3 linked regions of the Ovis aries genome follow. The protein of the gene in region 2 interacts with the protein of the main gene of each other region in a pairwise test. Links are inferred from orthologs where the notes say so. Each region holds a gene or a part of one and is shown on either strand. Other genes may lie near its edges. The genes, in order: GTF2I, AP2B1 and SLC25A6.

Region 1 (3,749 bases), on a different chromosome or scaffold from region 2:
CCCCCCTCCCCGCCCTTATCTGCGGTTTCACTTTCCACGGTTTCAGTTACAGGCATTTGGAAAACATTACAGCTATCCCTTGGTCTAGAAGGGTGATTGGTTCCAGGGATGCCCACCCCCCTCACCTTCCCAAAACCCCCAGGTGCCAAAATCTGCAGAAGCTTAAGTCCCTTATATAAAATGGCTGTAGGATTCACATACGGCGTACACACACCCTCCCTTGTACTTTTAATGATCTCTGGATTTATAATACCTAATACAGTATAAATGCTATGTAAATCATTGTAAATACAATGTAAATGCTATGGAAATCGTTGCTGGGCACCCACCCAGCAAAGGCAAGTTCTGCTTTTTTGAAAGTTTCTGGCATTTTTTTGTTTGTTTGTTTTGGAATATTTTCCATCCACGGTTTGTTGAATCCGCAGATGCAGAACCCGCGGATATGGAGGGCTGGCTGCAGATGGAAAATTCCAGAAATAAACAATTCATAAGTTTTAAATTTCACACCCGCCTGCTCCGTCCTGCCCAGGGTCATGAATCATCTCTTTGTCCAGCGTATCCTGCCCGGTAGTCTCTTGGTAGCTGCCTGGGTTATCAGATCTACTGCTGAGGTATCAGCAGGGCTTGTGCTCAAGTTAACCCTTATTTTACTTAATAATGGCTCCAAAGCGCAAGAGTAGTGATGCTGGTGGTTCAGATATGCCAAAGAGAAGCCGTAAAGTGCTTCCTTTGATTGAAAAAGTGAAAGTTCTTGACTTAGTAAGGAAAGAAAAAAAATCTTATGCTGAGGTTGCTAAGATCTACGGTAAGAACGAATCTTCTATCCGTGAAATTATGAAGAAGGAAAAAGAAATTCGTGCTAGTTTTGCTGTTGCGCCCCGAACTGCAAAAGTTACAGCCACAGTCCGTGATGAGTGCATAGTTAAGATGGAAGAGGCTTTAGATTTGTGGGTGGAAGACATGAACAGAAAGCGTGTTCCTATTGACAGCAACGTGTTGCGTCAGAAAGCACTGACCCTGTATGAGGACTTCAGCCAGGGAGCCCTTGAAACGAGTGACACCAAGCCCTTCACTGCCAGTAAGGGATGGCTGTACAGATTCAGGAATAGGTTTGGACTGAAAAATATAAAGATTACTGGACAGGCTGTGCCTCCTGAGGAAGCAGCTGCTGCCCTGTTTCCAGCGGAGGTGAAGAAGTTGATTAAGGAGAAAGGATGTTATCCAAAGAGAGTCTTCAACTGTGATGAAACTGGGCTCTTCCGGAAGAAGATGTCCAATAGAACCTTTATTCATAAAAGTGCAAAGGAGGCACCAAGGCGTAAAACGCGGAAGAACAGATTAGCTCTGGTGATACCTGGAAGCTCACCTCATCATAAGAAGGGTGAGTATAGTGTAATAAGATATTTAGAGAGAGACACCACATTCACGTAACTTTTATTGCAATACATATTGTTATATTGTTCTTAGTTATTATTAACCTCTTGTGTATGTTCGCTCAATTGTGTCCGACTCTCTGCGATCCCCTGGACTGTAGCCCACCAGGCTCCTCTGTCCGTGGATTTTCCAGGCAAGAATACTGGAATGGGTTGCCACTTCCTTTTCCAGGGTGTCTTTCCAAGCCAGGGATTGAACCTGCATCTCCTGCATTGGTAGGTGGATTCTTTACCACTGCGCCACCTGGAAAGCCCATTAATCTCTCACTCTGCATAATTTATAAATTAAACTTTGCTATAAGGGACTAACCTGGTGGTCCAATGGTTAAGATTCTGTGCTTCCACTGCAGGGAACTTGGGTTCAACCACTGGCCAGGGAAATAAGATCCTCATGCATGGCCAAAAAACACCCCCAAAACAAAGAACTTTATTATAGGTGTGTACATACAGGAAAAAAAGATAGTATATAGAGAATTCAGTACTATCCTCATAGATAAGGAGGGGCTACTGTATGCAATAGAATGGAGTGTCCTGTTTTTGGACACTCACCTGCAGGACTACATATGGTGGGTTAAACATAAAAAGAGATGTATATGAAATAATTTGAAATAACCTGCAAGATTCTGCCAGCTGGTAATTCCCTGGCAGTTCAGTGGTTAGGACTCTGAGCTTACACTGGAGGCGGTACAGGTTTGATCTCTGGGTGGGGAACTAAGATCCAACGTGCCGCATGGTGCAGTCAGACTGCAGTCTCAGTCTTGGTACACACATCGTGTTATGTTGAATGTGATTCTAAACAAAAGTTGAGTGTTATTTGAACAAAGGAGGATTCCATAAGAAATCATTCTGAAATATACAAATCAATTTTGTTTTTGTATTTTTCATTTGTTGCTCAACCCAAGCAGTGTAATCTTGTGTTGGAAAACAGCTGGCTGTGCTGAGTTGGTATCTCAAGTGGCATGTAATTCTGATCACCATTAACATAGCACTTGTACCAATGAGGTGAGGGAAAAACTGGTTAACCAACAGCAAGTGCACCAGTAACAGCCAAGGTGAGCCGGGTCTTAAGACTGAACATGTATGATATTTACGACTGTAAGTATCAATCTGAGGGTTAAACCTGCCAATAGCAGTACACGGGGAAAAAAGGTTGACTTCTATACATTGTTCATTGTCCCCAACGGGCCAGCTTTCTGTCCAGAGGCAATTCAAAGCCACCTAAAGTTTTAAGACCAGTTCGATAGTTCAACCTCAACCTCAAGGAAGCTGGAGTTGTTCATGAAGTAGCAGCAAAATTTCACACAGAACTGTTAACTTCAGAAAAGGGGGGGCTATCTCCCACATAAGTTTTTAATGACAAGGGTGCTGCTGCTGCTAAGTCGCTTCAGTTGTGTCCGACTCTGTGTGACCCCATAGACGGCAGCCCACCAGGCTCTGCCCTCCCTGGGATTCTGCATGCAAGAACACTGGAGTGGGTTACCATTTCCTTCTCCAATGCATGAAAGTGAAAAGTGAAAGTGAAGTCAGTCAGTGGTTTCCTACTTTTAGTGACCCCATGGACTGCAGCCCACCAGGCTCCTCTGCCCCTGGGATTTCCAGGCAAGAGTACTGGAGTGGGTTGCCATTGCCTTCTCCAATGACAAGGGTAATCGTGACTAAATGAACTCATCTTACTTCCTAACACCCTTCCAAAGCTCCTCCATTACTCCACCACACCCAGTGCATCCTCCCATCACTGTCTTCAACTTCTCAGTATTCCGAATAATCCGTTCAAGACCAAAAAAAAAAAAAAGTTGTGTTAGTCCCTCAGTCGTGTTGGACTCCTTGCAATCCCATGAACTGAAGCTCACCAGACTTTTCTGTCCATGGAATTCTCCAGGCAGGAATATAGGAGTGGGTAGCCATTCCCTTCTCCGGGGATCTTCCCGAACCAGGGATTAAACCCTGGACCCCCTTGCATTGCAGGAGGATTCTATGCCCTCTGACCCACCAGGTAAGCCCTCAGGGTTCCTATCCCTCCATAAAACATCCTCAGCTGATGCTCACAGCAGCTGAGTTTGCAGCTCCTGGGGTGGTTGCTATTACCAGCTGAATTTTAGGCTTCTCAAGAGTTAATGTTTATCCCTAAGTATGTCAGTTGTACTTGGTATTGGGAAGATGGAGTTTAAATATTTCAAAATGTTAATGAAGAAAGACTGCAAAAAGAAAATTGTTCTTATGAAAAACTAAACACTGTGCAGAAACTTGACAAAGAAAAAGTCTTAATTGAATTAATCGAGGACAAAATGACAGTAAAAGATTGCAGGGGAAATCGGG
Region 2 (3,649 bases):
TTTTATAGTCTCATTCAGACTATTCTCTCAAGTTCTTGGTAGAAGGGGATGCCCAATCCTCTTAGTTGAGTCTTGTGTCAGTCACAGTACATCACTCCCTTTTTCTTTTCTTGTTAAAATGTGAGCTCACTTTCAGTAGAGATTTTCTTTTCAGATGGGAGTCCTGATGGCCTTTAAGTTCAAAATTGTTGTAAAAGGGCCAATTCTCTATTTGCTTCTGCCAGGTATCCTAGGCTCTATCAGTTCTGGTCCAACTTTACACTGGTTTGGAGAATTCTGTACCTACCCAGTATAAATTCAGGCTCCGGATTTTTCACAAGAGGCCATTAGAACCCTGGTCAGAGAGAACTTTCTCCAATCACTTGCCTCTATGGAAATGTGTTTCTAGTTCCCTTTTCACTGAGGGACTTGCCCTTCCAGGGGGTCAGCTTTATGCAAAGCTCAGTTACAGTTCCCCATCTCAGGTCGACCCAAGGTGGTCTCTTCCGTCCCTGTGAATATTAAAACCCTCAACTTCCAGGCTTCTATCTGTATGTTATCCCTTCAGGTTGCTGGGCTTCAATTTACATGCTTACTACTCTACCTTCATGTTGCTTAAACCCCAGAAGGCTTATTTCAAAGAGAAATTCAAAGTGATGCAAATGAAATGAAACTCTAAGCTAGAACTTAAGCATTCTAAAAATTCAGTATTTTCAAGATGGAGAGGCTCTTTTAGACATGATAAAGTTCTGACCTCCTCTAAGTTGATGTTACACTTACCACATGCATATCATACAGATAACCCAATTATTTATGGCAGTGTATTCAAAGATGACCTCCACATAGCTTTCCTGAAATCTACTCTTGCTGCTGGAGCTGCTAAGTCGCTTTAGTCATGTCCAACTCTGTGCGACACCATAGATGGCAGCCCACCAGGCTCCCCCGTCCCTGGGACTCTCCAGGCAAGAACACTGGAGTGGGTTGCCATTCCTTCTCCAATGCATGAGAGTGAAAAGTGAAAGCGAAGTTGCTCAGTCGCGTCCGACTCTTCGCGACCCCATGGACTGCAGCCTACCAGGCTCCGCCGTCCATAGGATTTTCCAGGCAAGAGTACTGGAGTGGGGTGCCATTGCCTTCTCTGGGAAATCTACTCTTACAACGTTCAAATTCCCTTTTATGAAAGTCTTAAGAAAAAAGTTTATAAATAACACCTTGAAAAGTTTTTGTTTGTAGAATTAAAAAAAATTAGTAACTTTCTGTGTCAATGTTATGATTTTTGCGTGTGTGTGTTTTAATGAAAAATAAGTCTTCTCCACAGAGTTATTTCAAACCCTATTCCATGACTAAATCTAATATGAGAGGAGTTGCTTTACATATAAATAAAATAAAATTGGCAAGATATCAACCTGTACACCCAGACTGAAGTAAGAGTCTAACCTGTAGGTTGTTCAGAGGCTCCATCTTCATGACAGGGCCCAAGGTGTTGAGGGGCAGGGAGACATCGATGCTCTGGTTTGGCATCAGTGGTGTATGGATGGCCAGAGGAGTGCTGGGGATGACACCAAAGCTAGAAGAGAGGGTGAAGAAGTCCTAGAGGTTATTAGGAGGCAGGATTTAGACACATCTTTAGGTTTCCATGGCTTTTTATACAAGGAAACCACATAACCTCTGTTTTCCATGAAATAGATTAGAGGAAGGAGAAAACATTCAGCAGCAGAGAACTGGTTAGCTAATGCCCTGATTCTAAAGTTTTATGTTTATCATGCCACTAGAGGGGCAGATTTGATAAGCATCTTTTTTTATACATCTGTCTTTAGATAATCCTTGGGAGAATACCCACCCTGCAAAGTACACTACTACTATTTCACTAGCTTGATAGCCTGCCCAGTCAGCCCAGAGGATGATTTACGGTAACTCACTTTCTTTTTTCTTTGTTTACTTACATAGGATACAATCATTGGGAAAAAGCCACTCTAAGTAAAGCAGAATTGACTGGTTTAAACATTCAAAACAGTACTCCAAAGGACGAAAGACACACTGCAGACTCAAACCTGGCCACTTTCTTAGCCTAAGGCAGGAAGTGAATATCCACTACAGTTAGACTTCTCACAGAAGCCTACATGATAATAATATAAAACAGTAAAGAGCTAGGAAAAGCCTGAGTTAGAAGTCACATAAAAACAAAAATGTATGAAGGAAGACCGAAAGGGAAAAGTTGGGCCACAGGTATAACAAATGAACAGCTTAATGATACAAATTTACATTGAACTTATGCTCTAATTAGCCTCAGGAAGAAAGATGAGATTATAATGTAAAGTAACTAGAGTTTTTTAAGCAGTATCAATTTCAGAACAGCAGGAGAAACATTTTCCTTTTCCTAGATAAACTATACTTTAGAGTCCCAAATGTAATAAATGATTTTGAGTAGACACATCAAATCATTTTGGTATTAACATTTATAGGTCAAAAACTATTCTGCCCTTTTGATCTTGATCTCATGATTGATCTATGTGGAACACCATAGGGAATCTTTTAAAAAGGCTACCAGAACTAGTAAGTAAGTTTATTGAAGTTGCAAGATACAAGTTCAATATACAAAAATCAACTGTATTTCTATAAACTAGCAACCAAAAGTTAAAACATGCTACTTACTGTAAACATCAAAACTACGAAACACTTAAATACAACATAAGATGTGTAAGATCTATACATGAAAAATTATAAAATACTGTAGAGGGAAGTTAAAGATGTCTTACATAAATGGAGAGATACGCTATGCTGATAGATTGGAAGACTTAGTATTGTTTGTTGTCAGTTCTTCCCCTAACTGATCTATATATTCTCTATACCTTCCATCAAAATCCAAGCAGGAAAAAGACCTAGAATTGCCCAAAACAATTTTTGAAAAAGAACATAGTTGGAGGGTTTATACTATATGACTTCAAGATTTACTACAGCAAGACTTTGCTTTGACTCTTACTTTACACCATACTGGGCTTCCCAGGTGGCGCTAATGGTAAAGAATCCACCTGCCAATTCAAGAGATGAGGATTTCCGGATCCCTTGAAGGAGAGCATGGCAACCTACTCCAGTACTCTTGCCTAGAAAATTCCACACACACAGAAGCCTGGTGGGCTACAATCCATGGGGCCATGAAGAGTCGGACACAACTGGACACTGCACACTACACCATATTATCACACCAAAATTATCTCAAAATGAATTATAAAGGCAAACATAAGAGCTTTATTGACTGCCATTTCCATTAAAATTTTTTTAATTGTATTAATAACTGTAGGTCAGGTAAAGATTTGATAAACAGAACACAAAAAGCGAAAGACTTAAAAAGGAAAAAATTGTAAAATAAACTGTGTTTAAACAAAAAACCTGTTCCTTGAAAAACACTAAGAGAGTACAAGTAAGCTACAGACTGGGGGAAGATTATTTCCAAGGCATATCTGAAAAGTACTTATAGCTAGAAAATATAAAAAACTTTACTACTTGATAATAGGACAAATAATTTTTTTAAAAAAGAAAAAGGAATGATCTGAGAAGATACTTCTCCAAAGAAGATATAAGATTAGTCAACAAGATTATGAAAAAAATGCTCAGTATTGTTAGTTAGTAGAGAGATATTACTATCCATCTACAAGAATGGCTAGCACTGGTG
Region 3 (3,670 bases), on a different chromosome or scaffold from region 2:
GTATTCCTAACCCTCAGGACCCTAAAAGGAAGCTGTCTTTGGAAATGAGGGTGGTGGCTCAGATGCTAAAGGATCTGCCTGCAATGCGGGAGACCCGGGTTCTTTTCCTGGGTCGAGAAGATCCCCTGGAGAAGGAAACGGCAATGCACTCCAGCACTCTTGCCTGGAAAATCCCATGGATGGAGGAGCCTGATAGGCTACAGTCCATGGGGTCACAAAGAGTCGGACACGACTGAATGACTTCACTTTCACTTTCAAGAGAGAATGAAGGTGAAATGAGGTCACCAGGCGGCTCTGGGGCCAGACAGACACACCCAGAGGGAGGAGCTCATGAGGACTCAGGGAGTCCACTCGCCCAGGAGAGAGCCCCGCCCACCCCTGGGTCTCAGCCTCCAGCTGCTGGGGCTGGGAGCCCTCAGCTATCAGCAGCTGAGGTGCCTCCGCCCTCCCCCCAGGACAAGCCCCTGCCCCAGGGAGCAGAAGGCCCGGGCCCTCCCGGTGCCGCCCCCACCGTCGCCTCCGGCAGGGAGCTCACCCTTGGCGGTGTCGTAGATGCCGAAGTAGGCGGCGCGGTAGATGATGATACCCTGCACCGACACGTTGAAGCCCTGGTACAGCCCGCGGATGCCGTCGGACTTGGTGATCTTCACCAGACAGTCTCCCAGGCCCCTGAACTCGCGCTCACTGCCCGACTTGCCCACGTCGGCCGCCAGGCGGGTTCGGGCGAAATCCAGCGGGTAGACGAAGCACAGGGAGGTGGCCCCGGCCGCGCCGCCCGAGGCCAGGTTGCCTGCGAAGTACCTCCAGAACTGCGTGTGCTTGTCCACGCCCCCCAGGAAGATCTGCTTGTACTTGTCCTTGAAAGCGAAGTTGAGGGCTTGCGTGGGGAAGTAGCGGATGACGTTGGCCAGGTTGCCCCGCCAGAAGGACAGCACGCCCTGCTCCTTGGGGATACGCACAATGCAGTCCACGATGCCCTTGTACTGCTTGTCGGCCGCGATCTGCTTGCTCGCGTGCTGCACCTGGGGGGCGGCGGAGGGAGACACAGGGCTCTACCGGGGGCCTGGGCACACCGCCGAGACTTAGAGGAGATTCTGGTGAAGCTCAGACAGCTCTGAGTGACTGCTCCAAGAGGTGAGGGAAAGGTCGGTATGGGTGGGATTCTGGTCAACAGAAGTTCATACGAGCTAGGACATATTTTCGCGGAGCGTTTCTTACAGTCTCAAGGTGCATTCGTCACCGTGAAGGTTTTTAATGCTTTTTCACACACGACAGACAGGGAAGCTTGGCGTGCTGCACCCTGGGGCAGGAGTGAGGGGGAACAGGGCTTCACCCAGGGCCTAGGGCAGACCTCCATGGCCACTTATAAAAAATACACGACCCGAGAGTGGCGAGTTACGATCTGGGGCAAGGCGAGGACTACACCCCCCGGGGGAGAGCAGCTCAGATAGCTGAGAGATTGAGCCAGAGGTGAGACTGGATGAGATTCTGGTCAATGGGAAGTTCCTAGAGCGAGCACACACTCTCGCAGAGCCTTTCTCAGAGCCTCAAGGAGCACTCGTCACAGTAAAAGTTTTTAGTGCTTTTCTAAACGATGAACAGGGAAGCCTGGCGTGCTGCAGCCCATGGGGTCGGCAATGATCGGACACATCTGAGCGACTGAACTGAAACATGAGGTGGGCAAGCAAGAAGTGGGCTCACAATCAGCCACTGGAAACATCTGTCTCATGACCTGGCCTGTCACTTTTTCCCAGAACCCGCATGCCTCATTCCTGCTCTCCACCCTGAGGTCCTTTCACGGGGTCTGAAGGTCAGCAGCACCTGACTCAATACTCATAGAGACGGCTCAGACGGTCAAGAATCACCCTGCAATGCAGGAGACCCGGGTTTCACCCCTGAGTCAGGAAAATCCGCTGAAGGAGGGCATGGCAACCCATTCCAGTATGCTTCCCTGGAGAATCCCATGGACAGAGCAGCCTGGCAGGGCTACAGTCCATGGGGTCGCAAGAGTCGGACACGACTGACACTACTACCGCTTTCAGAGGTAAACAGCAGGTGCCCACAAGCGCCAATTTGCGGTTGACACCTGCAGAGGTCACCAACGACCGACGTGTCGTTAATAAGACATTTACACGGGGCCTTTAAGCTCTCCTAGCATCCTTCCTGGGGAATCCTATTTTCTTTAAGGGTGGCAATCCCATCGCAACGCTAATTCCACTGGCTCCCCATTTGTGACGCTCCAAACAGACCAGCGCAGTTTATTCCACCTCATACCCGCGCAAACAAGTGCGAACAGTGGGCAAGAAGACCAGTACAACTGCGGAGACTAAAGATCTTTCCCCGTCCACGGCCCAAGGGGACGGGACCCCACCCACAGCCTCGCAGGGTCCGTCCACGCGGCTCTCCCCCCGCGCATGCGCACTCCAACTCTGCAGCCCCCCAGTGCGCAGGCGCGGAGGGCGCCGCCGCCGGCCGCCCGACGCGCATGCGGCGCCCCGCGCCCCAATGCGGACATCGCCGCCGGGCGCCCCCCGCGCATGCGCTCCCTCGCGGCGGTGCCCACGTGACGCGACCCCCCGGAAGCCAGCCCGGCCGGCCGCGCGCGGACAAAGCGGCGCGACCTCCCCGCTTCCGGTCCCGGGGCCGCGCGCGCGCCCGAGCTCCCCGGGGCCCGGCGCCGGCGGCCGCGCGCCAGCAGCCTGACACGCACCTGCAGCAGCAGCTTGACGCGCTCGATCGGGGCCACGGCCGTCTTGGAGATGGCGGCGGCGATGCCCCCGGCCAGGAAATCCTTGGCGAAGGAGATGGCCTGTTCCGTCATGGCGGCGGGCGGAGAGCGGAGCGGAGGCGCAGAGAAGCAGAGAGAGAGCCGGAAGGTGAGCGCCGCTGGCTCAGCGCTGCCGCCGCCGGGACCGAAAGGACAGGGCGGCCACCGCGCAGCCGCTAAGGGGCCCGCGCCCCGCCCCGCGGCCCCCGCGCGCCGCGCCCATTGGCTGCGCCGCCGCCCGGGCCCCGCCCCCTGGGCGCGCGCACCGCCCCCGCGCGGCCTGCCGGGAGCGGCGCCTCGTCCCGCCCCGTGGGTCCATACGGCCTTGCCCATTGGCTGCGCCGCCGCCCCGGCCCCGCCCCCTGGGCGCGCGCCGCGCCTCCCGCGGGCTGCCGGGAGCTGCGCCTCGCCCCGCCCCGGGGGCCCCCGTGCGCCGCGCCTATTGGCTGCGCCACCACCCAGGCCCCGCCCCTGGCCCGCGCGTCTCGCCGCGGGGCATGTCGGGAACCGCGCCCCGCCTCTGCGCCGAGCGTGCCCGGGGCGGGTCGCGCTGGGTTGCGTGGCGGCCACTCTGACCTTTTCAAGGTCATGCTTGGCCTGGCGGCGGCGACGAACGACACTGGCGTAGGGGACAGGCCGGGCTTTGCGAAGGCCCGCGCCCTCTCTTCTCCCAATCGTAGCACCGGACGCTCGGGTCCCCAGGCTCGTCCACTCTGGCCGGTCCGATCATTGGGGCCCCGGCTCCGCGCCGCAGACCCCCGAGTCCCGCCCGCGACCCCCACCCCCCCACCCAGCCGCCCCGAAAGGTCCTGATGACCCCCGGCGCCCTCCAGGCCCCTGCTCGCCCCGCGGGACGAGCGATGCAGTCTGTGCGTTCTGACCCAGCGTACGAGACGGCCCCGA

Evidence for each region.
Region 1: the proteins of AP2B1 (region 2) and GTF2I interact in binary tests that used the Homo sapiens proteins (3 or more experiments, as listed by UniProt). The link is inferred for Ovis aries from reciprocal best matches to the Homo sapiens genes AP2B1 and GTF2I.
Region 3: the proteins of AP2B1 (region 2) and SLC25A6 interact in binary tests that used the Homo sapiens proteins (3 or more experiments, as listed by UniProt). The link is inferred for Ovis aries from reciprocal best matches to the Homo sapiens genes AP2B1 and SLC25A6.

What each region holds. Positions count from the first base shown.
Region 1 is NC_056077.1:33,329,312-33,333,060, reverse strand, and holds the start of GTF2I (general transcription factor II-I), read left to right. Parts: upstream 1-1,047; 5' UTR 1,048-1,269; coding exon 1,270-1,381; exon of another isoform or gene 1,382-3,749. UniProt on the Homo sapiens protein: Interacts with the basal transcription machinery by coordinating the formation of a multiprotein complex at the C-FOS promoter, and linking specific signal responsive activator complexes.
Region 2 is NC_056064.1:14,410,378-14,414,026, forward strand, and holds part of AP2B1 (AP-2 complex subunit beta), read right to left. Parts: intron 1,547-3,649; coding exon 1,417-1,546; intron 1-1,416. UniProt on the Homo sapiens protein: Component of the adaptor protein complex 2 (AP-2). Adaptor protein complexes function in protein transport via transport vesicles in different membrane traffic pathways.
Region 3 is NC_056080.1:6,639,746-6,643,415, reverse strand, and holds the start of SLC25A6 (ADP/ATP translocase 3), read right to left. Parts: upstream 2,822-3,670; coding exon 2,711-2,821; intron 1,023-2,710; coding exon 536-1,022; intron 1-535. UniProt on the Homo sapiens protein: ADP:ATP antiporter that mediates import of ADP into the mitochondrial matrix for ATP synthesis, and export of ATP out to fuel the cell.